3 linked regions of the Macaca mulatta genome follow. The protein of the gene in region 1 purifies or fractionates together with the protein of each later gene. This does not show direct contact. Links are inferred from orthologs where the notes say so. Each region holds a gene or a part of one and is shown on either strand. Other genes may lie near its edges.

What was found.
Region 2: the proteins of RELB (region 1) and NFKBIA purify together in Homo sapiens (affinity purification with mass spectrometry; 4 studies listed by BioGRID and IntAct, counting the BioPlex papers as one, with this or other methods). This does not show direct contact. The link is inferred for Macaca mulatta from reciprocal best matches to the Homo sapiens genes RELB and NFKBIA.
Region 3: the proteins of RELB (region 1) and NFKBIE purify together in Homo sapiens (affinity purification with mass spectrometry; 3 studies listed by BioGRID and IntAct, counting the BioPlex papers as one, with this or other methods). This does not show direct contact. The link is inferred for Macaca mulatta from reciprocal best matches to the Homo sapiens genes RELB and NFKBIE.

What each region holds. Positions count from the first base shown.
Region 1 is NC_133424.1:57,520,253-57,523,899, reverse strand, and holds part of RELB (transcription factor RelB), read right to left. Parts: intron 1,744-3,647; coding exon 1,403-1,743; intron 1-1,402.
Region 2 is NC_133412.1:108,520,536-108,524,882, reverse strand, and holds the start of NFKBIA (NF-kappa-B inhibitor alpha), read left to right. Parts: upstream 1-1,494; 5' UTR 1,495-1,584; coding exon 1,585-1,811; intron 1,812-2,421; coding exon 2,422-2,530; intron 2,531-2,857; coding exon 2,858-3,068; intron 3,069-3,358; coding exon 3,359-3,447; intron 3,448-3,554; coding exon 3,555-3,824; intron 3,825-4,194; coding exon 4,195-4,242; 3' UTR 4,243-4,347. UniProt on the Homo sapiens protein: Inhibits the activity of dimeric NF-kappa-B/REL complexes by trapping REL (RELA/p65 and NFKB1/p50) dimers in the cytoplasm by masking their nuclear localization signals.
Region 3 is NC_133409.1:137,854,212-137,856,921, forward strand, and holds part of NFKBIE (NF-kappa-B inhibitor epsilon), read left to right. Parts: intron 1-6; coding exon 7-109; intron 110-816; coding exon 817-1,039; intron 1,040-2,379; coding exon 2,380-2,468; intron 2,469-2,635; coding exon 2,636-2,710. UniProt on the Homo sapiens protein: Sequesters NF-kappa-B transcription factor complexes in the cytoplasm, thereby inhibiting their activity. Sequestered complexes include NFKB1-RELA (p50-p65) and NFKB1-REL (p50-c-Rel) complexes.

The sequences.
Region 1 (3,647 bases):
GCGTGGTCTCGAACTCCCGACCTCAGGTGATCCGCCTGCCTCGGCCTCCCAAAGTGCTAGGATTACAGACATGAGCCACAACACCTGGCCTCAGAATTTGGGACATTCTACAAAACATCCATCCTGTTCTCCACAAGTGTTCATGTCACGAAACACAAAGACAGATTGAAGAACAGATCCAGATTAACAGACACCAAAGAGGCCAGGCATGGTGGCTCACACCTGTAATCCCAGCACTCTGGAAGGCCAAGGCATGTGGATCACTTTAGGTCAGGAGTTCAAGACCGGCCTGGCCAACACGGCAAAACCACATCTCTACTAAGAAATACAAAAATTAGCCAGGTGCGGTGGTGGACCTGTAATCCCAGCTACTCGGGAGGCTGAGGCAGGAGAATCGCTTGCACCCAGAAGATGGAGGTTGCAGTGAGCCGAGATCACACCACTGCACTCCAGCCTGGGCAACAGAACAAGATTCCATCTCAAAAAAACAAAAAACAAAAAAACTTACCTGTACCTTATTAACATGTTAATACCCTGCCAAAAGTAATCACCTTTGCGTTTTTTACTTCCAGTGTGTGTGTGTGTGTATATATATATATATATATTTGTTTTTTAATTGAGGCAGGGTCTTGCTCTGTTGCCCAGGCTGGAATGCAGTGGTGCAATCTTGGCTCACTGTAGCCTTGACATCCTAGGCTCAAGCGATCCTCCTACCTCAGTCCTACCATGTAGCTAGGACTACAGCCATGTGCCACCATGCCTGGCTAATTTTTATATTTTTTCTAGAAATGGGGTTTTGCCATCTTGCCCAGGCTCATCTAGAACTCCTGATCTCAAGTGATCCGCTTGCCTCAACCTCCCAAAGTGCTAGAATTACAAGCCTGAGCCACCGCACCGTGCACTACCTTCATTTTTTCTTTTTCTTTTTTTTTTTTTTTTGAGACAAGGTCTTACTCTGTTACTCAGACTGCTGTGCAGTGGTGCAATCTTAGCTCACGGCGGCCTGCACCTCCCTGGGCTCAGGTGATCCTCCCACCTCGGCCTCCTAAATAGCTGGGATTGTGCCACCACACCCGGCTAATTTGTGTACTTTTAGTACAAATAGGGTTTCACCATGTTGGCCAGGCTGGTCTCGAACTCCTGACATCAGGGGATCCGCCCGCCTCGGCCTCCCAAAGTACTGGGATTACAGGGGTGAGCCACCCTGCCCAGCCAAATGTCCGACCCCTCCTTTTTTCTGAATCTTTTGGATTCCAGGCCAGGTGATAGTATAATTAATATCTGGTCCACCAATAACAGTAATATTAGCCACCATCAAATAAACGTATAAATGCATGCGGATTGCTCCAGGGTGCAGGGGAAGACCCAGTCCCACCCGCCCGGGGCCGCTCGCCGGGCCCACCTCTATGGCGGGCAGCGTCTTGCTGGCCTCGGTGCTGCTCTCCCCAAGGATGCTGCCGGCCGAGCGGCCCTCGCACTCGTAGCGGAAGCGCATTCCGCGCTGCTTGGGTTGCTCGGTGATGACCAGGTGCGGCTGCGGGCCTGGGCCCTGCGCGGGCGGCACCAGCCTGCCCAGGGGGCAGCCCCAGGGCGGCGGGGTGGCTGGGGGCGCCACAGGGCCAAGGGTGACCGTGCTCAGCGAGGCCGCCCCGCGAGACACCAGGCGCGGCAGCCCCTCGCCCGGGCCCGGCTGCCCCCCATCCAGGCCGAAGCCGTTCTCCTTGATGTACTCATCGATTATCTCTGCGGGAGAAGAAAAAACGGGTGGTGACTCCGATTCTTTAAAAATTAAAAAAAAAAAAAAAAAAAAAAAACGCTTGATTAACCCCAAGACATTTTCCATCCCATTTATCTCACACACACACACACACACACACACACACACACACACACAGTCAGGGAGGCCAGATGCGGTGGCTCACGCCTGTAATCCCAGCACCTTGGGAGGCCGAGGTGGGTGAATCAATAGAGGTCAGGAGTTCGAGACCAGCCTGGCCAACGTAGTGAAACCCCGTCTCTACAAAAATTAGCCCACATGGTCTCCCACGTCTGTAATCCCAGCTACTCGGGAGGCTGAGGCAGGAGAACAGCTTGAACCCAGGAGGCGGACATTACAGTGAGCCAAGATCGCGCCACTGCACTCCAGCCTAGGCGACAGAGCAAGACTCCGTCTCTAAATAAATAAATAATAGGCCGGGCGCAGGGGCTCACGCCTGTAATCCCAGCACTTTGGGAGGCCAAGGCTGGTGGATCACGAGGTCAGGAGATTCGGACCATCCTGGCTAATGCAGTGAAACCCTGTCTCTACTAAAAATAAAAAAAATTAGCCAGGCGTGGTAGCACACGCCTGTAGTCTCAGCTACTCAGGAGGCTGAGGCAGGAGAATGGCGTGAATCTGGGAGGTGGAGCTTGCAGTGAGCCAAGATCATGCCACTGCACCCCAGCCTGGGTGACACAGCAAAACTCTGTCTCAAAAAACAAAACAAAACAAAACAAACAAAAAAATATATATATATACACAAATTGGGCATGGTGATGTGCGCCTGTAGTCCCAGCTACTCGGGAGGCAGAGGCAGGAGAATCACTTGAACCCGGGAGGTGGAGGTTGCAGTGAGCCAAGATCGTGCCATTGCACTCCAGCCTGGGCAACAAGAGCGAAATTCCATCTCTAAATAAATAAATCAATAAATACAAAAATTAGCTGGGCGTGGTGGCGCATGCCTGTAATCCCAGCTACTCGGAAGACAGGAGGCAGGAGAATTGCTTGAACCTAGGAAGCGGAGGTTGCAGTGAGCTGAGATAGCACCACTGCACTCCAGCCTGGGCGACAGAGCAAGACTGTCTGAAAAAATAACTTAAATAAATAAGAAAGGGCTTGCTCCTCCAACTGCCTGTTCCGCACGGTCCCCCATTCAACCCATGCTGGCTGCTTCTCCTGGTCTCAGCTCGTATGTTATCTCTTCAGAAAGGCCTGACCTAATGTGTCTTCCCCAGGCCAGCTCTCCCTCGTCCTGTTTATTTTCTTCACAGCTCTCAGCCCAGGCTAACATGATCTTGCTCATCTATTCATTTTGCTCTGTCTCCCCGACTGGGTTATCAGCTCTGTGAGGGCAGGGACTTAGTTTTGTTCATGGCTGAATCCCCAGGGCCTAGAACAGTGTCTGTCTGTACTCCTGAGGGGATTAATAGCATTATTTTAATTGGTTTTCTTTTTGAGACGAGGTCTTGCTCTGCTGCCCAGGCTGCAGTGCAGTGGTGCAATCATAGCTCACTGCAGCCTCGGCCTCCGAGGTGACCTCCTAGGCTCAGGTGATCTTCCTACTTCAGTCTCCCCAGCAGCTGGGACTACAGGTGTGCACCATCATGACTGCCTAATTTTAAAAAATTTCGTGTAGAGATGGGGTCTCACTGTGTTACCCAGGCTAGTCCTGAACTTCTGGCCTCAAGCAGTCTTCCTGCCTCTGCCTCCCAAAGTGCCAGGATTACAGGCATGAGCCATGGCCCCTGGCCTGCTGAGTGTTTTCCAAGTGTCAAGCACTGCTAAGCACCTTAGGAGCATGACTTTGTTCAAATCCCTCCACAGTCCTGGAAGTCCCACAGTGACACCTCTCCCCCACCCCCACTGAACAAGGCAGGCCAAGGCCCCT
Region 2 (4,347 bases), on another chromosome or scaffold:
CTAATATTAGGGGAAGGGTGGAGATTTGAAGAGAGGGGAAGGATTGGTTAGTACATGGCCAGTCAAGGTAAAGATGATTGCAATCATCACCAGAAATCTCTGCAGAACTACAGAGGGCTCCTGGGACTAATTCTGAAGAGCTCTGACCGAAGTGTGCTTTATTTTGCCTGTACCAATTCTACCAAGTAGATGAATTCAGTCCATGGCTTGCAGGCTTGGAGGTGGAGGTGGGATGGAGAGCATAAATTACATTTCTGCAGGTGAAACCAGAGCATAGTGAGCCAAAACCCCTTTCTACCTGGGTGGCATGAATGGGTCCAACTGCTACTATCCCCCAGGACGAGGGAGCAAGGCGGGGGGGGGGCAGGATGGGAGGATGGGGCTGCCTTGAGCCTCCTGCAGGATGACTGGCAACTACTTTCTTAGCGGTCCTTAAGGTCCAATCGCGGTTAAGGCACTAACTAAACTCATTCTTCAGCCTCCTTCTCTAAGTGCTCCTCGAATTGCTCAGTTTAGATGCCCAGAAGTAGGCTCAGGATCCATTCTCTGCGGCAGCACAATGTAGGTCAGATAGCATGAATGCAACAGCTACTTATGAACACAATAGCTACTCTGTTATTGCAAGGTATCCACAACCACCACTACAAAGATTAACACCTTGCTTTACTTGGGGGGAAAAAAAAAAATCATGGTCCTATTCAGCAGTTTCCCCATACAGGGAGAGTTTGCCCCTCCCCCACTCAACAAGGCTGTTCATCCCTAGGAAGTGATTGGAAGTGATTTGAGAGTTTTCCAAAGATTTAGGCTTTCCACTCCTCCAAAGCTTTCACAGTTCTACCTGGCAGAGGTGCGTGGGGGGTAGGGGAGGAAGGGCGCGAAGCTAAACGTCCCCGTTCTGCAATGAGCCTGATATTAGCAGAAACACAAGAGCGGCCTGCAGCCCCATAACCACAGTGCGTCCTTCCCCTTAGAAGTCTGGGGAAAGAAAATCCCTACGCCCAGCCATCATTTCCACTCTTGCGTTTTCAAAAGATCAAAAAACGGAAAGGACCGGCAGGTTGGCAAACCCCAAAGAGGGACCGCCCATCATGTCGGCGTCCTTGGGATCTCAGCAGCCGACGACCCCAATTCAAATCGATCGTGGGAAACCCCAGGGAAAGAAGGTTCACTTGCAGAGAGACAGGATTACAGGGTGCAGGCTGCAGGGAAGTACCGCGGGGAAGGGGGCCTGGTCGGAAGGACTTTCCAGCCACTTGGCACTCATCAAAAAGTTCCCTGTCCGTGACCCCAGTGGCTCATCGCAGGGAGTTTCTCCGACGAACCCCAGCTCAGGGTTTAGGCTTCTTTTTCCCCCTAGCAAAGGACGAAGCCAGTTCTCTTTTCTGGTCTGACTGGCTTGGAAATTCCCCGCGCCTGACCCCGCCCCAGAGAAATCCCCAGCCAGCGTTTATAGGGCGCCGCGGCGGCGCTGCAGAGCCCACACCAGCCCGTGCCGCCGTCCCGCCCGCCAGCGCCCTAGCGAGGAAGCAGCGCGCAGCCCGCGGCCCAGCGCACCCGCAGCAGCGCCCGCAGCTCGCCCGCGCCATGTTCCAGGCGGCCGAGCGCCCCCAGGAGTGGGCCATGGAGGGTCCCCGCGACGGGCTGAAGAAGGAACGACTGCTGGACGACCGCCACGACAGCGGCCTGGACTCCATGAAGGATGAGGAGTACGAGCAGATGGTCAAGGAGCTGCAGGAGATCCGCCTCGAGCCGCAGGAGGTGCCGCGCGGCGCGGAGCCCTGGAAGCAGCAGCTCACCGAGGACGGGGACTCGTAAGTGGCGCAGACCCGGAGCCGGGGGTCCTCGGGAGGGCCGGATGCGCGCGGCCGGGGAGTGGGAGACGCCGGGCCTGGAGCCCGACCTGGGGAACTAGCGATGCAGCCGGGCTGGCGCCGCGGCGCCCCGGGGCTCCTGCACCGCCCCGAACGCTGCAGGGCTGCAGGGCCGCGCGGGGCACCGGCCCGACTCGGAGGGGCGGCGGCTGGGCCCTGGTGGACGGCAGCGTCGCCACACGCCCCCTCCCCCCAGGCCTGTCCTCTAGGCCGGGGGCGGGGCGGCAGCTGGGACGCGAAGTCCCCGGTTGCATAAGGCGTTTCTGGCCGCTGGCGGGCGCCGAGCAGCCGGGAGGGGAAGTACAGGGCGTTCCGAGCTGGCGGGAGGGCGGGGCGGTCTGGCCGGCGCCCGCCGGGGCCGCGGGGGGAGGGGGGCGGAAAGTCCCTGGGCGCCTGCCAGGAACACTCAGCTCATAATAACCTCGCGGAAAACACCGCGGCCTCGGCCTCCAGAAACCCCGGCCTTGCGCAATCCCCCGCAGCCCGCGCCTCCCTGGGCCCCACGCGGTGCACTCACCACCCCTGGGGTTTTTCCCTCTCTTCCCCACAGGTTTCTGCACTTGGCCATCATCCATGAAGAAAAGGCACTGACCATGGAAGTGATCCGCCAGGTGAAGGGAGACCTGGCCTTCCTCAACTTCCAGAACAACCTGCAGCAGGTGCGCCGCTTGCCTGGCCCGGGCTCTCTAACTCTGGGATGGAACTGATGTAGCAAAGTCACCCCAGATCCTTTCTGAATTCAGGGCCACTGGGCATTATTCACCCTCACCTTTTACTTCACGTCAGCCCACATCCTAGAGAGTGAAGGAAATTCCACTGATTTGGTGAGGTCTTTGTGACCCACCTGGAGTCTCTGCTATTTGCCAGTCCTCCCCACCCGCCTGTCCAGGAGGAGCAGCACCCAACCAGGAGACACGGGTTCAGGGGAACTCAGGGTGTGGGTTTGGTCCCTGGCTTACTTTCTCTGGTCTCTCCTGCATTCGTAGACTCCACTCCACTTGGCTGTGATCACCAACCAGCCAGAAATTGCTGAGGCACTTCTGGGAGCTGGCTGTGATCCTGAGCTCCGAGACTTTCGAGGAAATACCCCCCTACACCTTGCCTGTGAGCAGGGCTGCTTGGCCAGCGTGGGAGTCCTGACTCAGTCCTGCACCACCCCGCACCTCCACTCCATCCTGAAGGCTACTAACTACAATGGTATGTCTGCCTCCCTGCCCTGCCCCACCCCCTCAGGTGGCAGGTGATGTGGAGAAGGGGCAGGTGGGCCAACTTAAGGAGTCGAGGCAAGAACTTAAACTGCCAGCATTTGAAAGGTTGAGAAAATACGTGTGCAAAGTGCCTGTTGGATGCCTTTATAAAGTTCCTTCAGAACCCAGACGGTGGGTTCTTAAAATTCAGAAGATATGACTATTTGTCCCATAAAAGAATAGGTGAAAGGAGTGAGGGTTGAAACAGGTGGTTATACTTTTTTCGTTTTGTTCTTCCAGGCCACACGTGTCTGCACTTAGCCTCTATCCATGGCTACCTGGGCATTGTGGAGCTTTTGGTGTCCTTGGGTGCTGATGTCAATGCTCAGGTTAGTGCTTCCTGCCTCCGATGCACTGAGTCAAGTTCCCCGTGCTCATGTTGTGAGCAGAAATTCCAAACGCAGCCATAAGCATCTCAAATTCCTTTTGGTTTCAGGAGCCCTGTAACGGCCGGACTGCCCTTCACCTCGCAGTGGACCTGCAGAATCCTGACCTGGTGTCGCTCCTGTTGAAGTGTGGGGCTGATGTCAACAGAGTTACCTACCAGGGCTATTCTCCCTACCAGCTCACCTGGGGCCGCCCAAGCACCCGGATACAGCAGCAGCTGGGCCAGCTGACACTGGAAAACCTTCAGATGCTGCCGGAGAGTGAGGATGAGGAGAGCTATGACACAGAGTCAGAGTTCACGGAGTTCACGGAGGATGAGGTGAGTCTGTGAACTCCTTGGGCTCTCTAACTAATGAGGGACCATTCCCTTCACCCTCCCGGGCCCCTAGAACTGCTCCTTATCAGAGGGGTATCTACATAATGAGTCTCTCAAATTTCTGTGCATAACCAGTATCCCAATAATGTACCTTTTTTTTTTTTTAAAATAGCTTACCCTTTTTTAAAGAAAAGCATTTTTTAAAACATTTTTAAAATGGGAGTTAAAGGCAAACTCCCTCAGCCTGTAAAGTTCATTGTATTTGGGCTATGGAGAATGGAGTCCAAGGGTTATTTCCAGTAGCGGCCTCCCCATCCCAGTGGCTTGGCAGAGCTTCGGAAGTTTAATGTGTCTTCTTTCCCCTTGTTTTCAGCTGCCCTATGACGACTGTGTGTTTGGAGGCCAGCGTCTGACATTATGAGCGCAAAGGGGCTGAAAGAACATGGACTTGTATATTTGTACAAAAAAAAGTTTTATTTTTCTAAAAAAAGAAAAAAGAAAAAAAATTTAAAGGGTGTACTTATAG
Region 3 (2,710 bases), on another chromosome or scaffold:
CCCTAGGCTGGTCCACCTGGCAGTGATTCACGAGGCCCCAGCGGTGCTGCTCTGTTGCCTGGCTTTGCTGCCCCAGGAGGTCCTGGACATTCAAAATAACCTTTACCAGGTTGGTGGCGAGAGAGGGTTGTGCCTAGATACCTGTTTGTGCCCTGGCAGCCATCCCCAGCAGGCACACCAGTCCAAAGGCTGCTCACTTAGGAAACCAAATGCCAGACACAGCTAGAAACTGAGGAGACAGACACAAGTAAGACATGGCCTCTGCGCTGAGGTGCTTGCAGCCTGGGCTGGGGGACTCATATCACCAGCTAAATACACAGCCTGGTGACAAGAGTTGTGATAGAGACACATACCAGCTGCTGTAGGGTCCAGGGTCTGTGTGCAGCAGCCAGGGAAGGCTTACAGAGGAGATGACATCTGAATGGAGCCTTCACAGAGAGTTTCGCCAGGGAGGGACTGCCTGGTGCCTCTCTTTCCTCCTGCAGCCTACCCTCTGGGGGTAACAGAGGTCTCCCCATGGGGTGGGGGGCTAGACTCTGCCCCCACATGTCCTTTCTCCAGGGCCTAAGGTGACTTACAAGAAAAGCAGGGAGCTACTTTCTTCACCTTTCTTCCAGAATTGGGGTCACAAGAGCTTGGTGGGGGAGGGGGTGACAGGAGAAGGGCTTGGTAGGATTTCCTTGGAAGAACAGGCTATGGCCTTAATGAGCTACTTTCAAAGAAGATGCTGGCAGCTGGTGATTCTTGAGCCCAAGCATGTTCCCAGAGGTGGGAGCATGCTGCAGTGGCCCCATGACCCTCTGTTTGTGCCTCCAGACAGCACTCCATCTGGCTGTACATCTGGACCAACCGGGTGCAGTTCGGGCACTGGTGCTAAAGGGGGCCAGCCGGGCACTACAGGACCGGCATGGTGACACAGCCCTTCATGTGGCCTGCCAGCGCCAGCACCTGGCCTGTGCCCGCTGCCTGCTGGAGGGGCGGCCAGAGCCAGGCAGAGGAACATCTCACTCTCTGGACCTCCAGCTGCAAAACTGGCAAGGTGTGGACAGTCTTAAGGGCCTGTGGGATGAGGAGGGCATAGGAGATAGGGACCCCACTCTTGGGGAAGGGAGGGTCCCAGCTTGTCCATTGGTGCCCCTCCCACTCTAAGCACATAGATATTCCGTACATCTTTGCTAAATGAATGAATGGATGATTTGATTTTGAATTTACCCAGTACCTACTGTGTGCTGAGCAGAAAACTAAATCTTGCCCTTAAGATACTTAGTTTAAGGGCCGGGTACGGTGTCTCACGCCTGTAATCCCAGCACTTTGGGAAGCCAAGGCAGGTGGATCACGAGGTCAGGAGATCGAGACCATCCCAGCTAACATGGTGAAACCCCGTCTCTACTAATAATACAAAAAATTAGCCGGATGTGGTGATGGGCACCTGTAGTCCCAGCTACTCAGGAGGCTGAGGCAGGAGAATGGCGTGAACCCGGGAGGCGGAGCTTGCAGTGAGCCAAGATTGGGCCACTGCACTCCAGCCTGAGCGACAGAGAGAGACTCCATCTCAAAAAAAAAAAAAAGATAGTTAGCTTAATAGAGATTAGATGACCTGATTCATTCATTCAACAGAAATGTACTGAGGGTTTTCTATGTGCCAGACATTATCTTGGGAGCTACACCTGCATCTGGGTGCAAAATAGAGAAAGGTTGAGATGAGCAATAAATATAAGAAGTGAACTGTGTAATATCATAAAAGGAAGTAAGTGCTGTAGTAAAAAGTAGAGCGGAGTGAGAGGAAGGAATGTGGGGAGTAGGAGAGTTGATATGATTGTTAAATAGGGTGGCCCGGGAAGGCCTCATGGAGCCAGTGACATCTGAATAGGGCCTTGAAGGAGGTGAAGAATGTAAATTTGAATCGAAATCTCTATTACTAAGCAAGGGTCAGGAGTGTCCAGACCAGAAAGGAGAGCAAAAAGGCCAGGGGAGCACAGAAGGAAGTGGCCACTGAGAAAGGGCTGGGGTCATGAGGATCTTAGGTGGCTTTTCAGAAAAGGTGGCTTTCTGGGCTTGAAGGCAGGTTGTGTGTGTGTGTGTGTGTGTGTGTGTGTGTTGTGATTTGTGTATAGGAGGAGGGTGTTCTTTGGGGGTGTCACTCAGCAGCCTGACCCCTGAAGCATGAAAGTTTCAATAACATGACTCTGAAAAGGTGGAAACTTTGAGTTCCTTTCCCCTTAGACTTTTGAGGGGGTTTTGGGGTTTGCATTTTAACAGTCTTGTGATTAGAGACATTGAGTGGGCAGTGAGTCCCTTGGGGCTGAGTGATAGGGAGGTCCCAGAAGAGAGGGAGTTGGTGGATGCAGATGAGCAGCCCTCACCCTCACCCCATCCCAGGTCTGGCTTGTCTCCACATTGCCACCCTTCAGAAGAACCAACCACTCATGGAACTGCTGCTTCAGAATGGAGCTGACATTGACGTGCAGGTGAGGCAGCCAGCAAAGCACTGCCCAGCCCAGGGCCTGCCCCCACCTGACACAGCCCCAAGCCCCTGCCCAGCAGTCAGAAGTGGTGGCATTCACCTCCTTATCCAGAGCCCAGGCCCAGCACACTGCCTCTGAGGGCCTTGGCTGACATCCTTATTCCTTCCCAGGAGGGCACCAGTGGGAAGACAGCGCTGCACCTGGCTGTGGAAACCCAAGAGCGGGGCCTGGTACAGTTCCTGCTC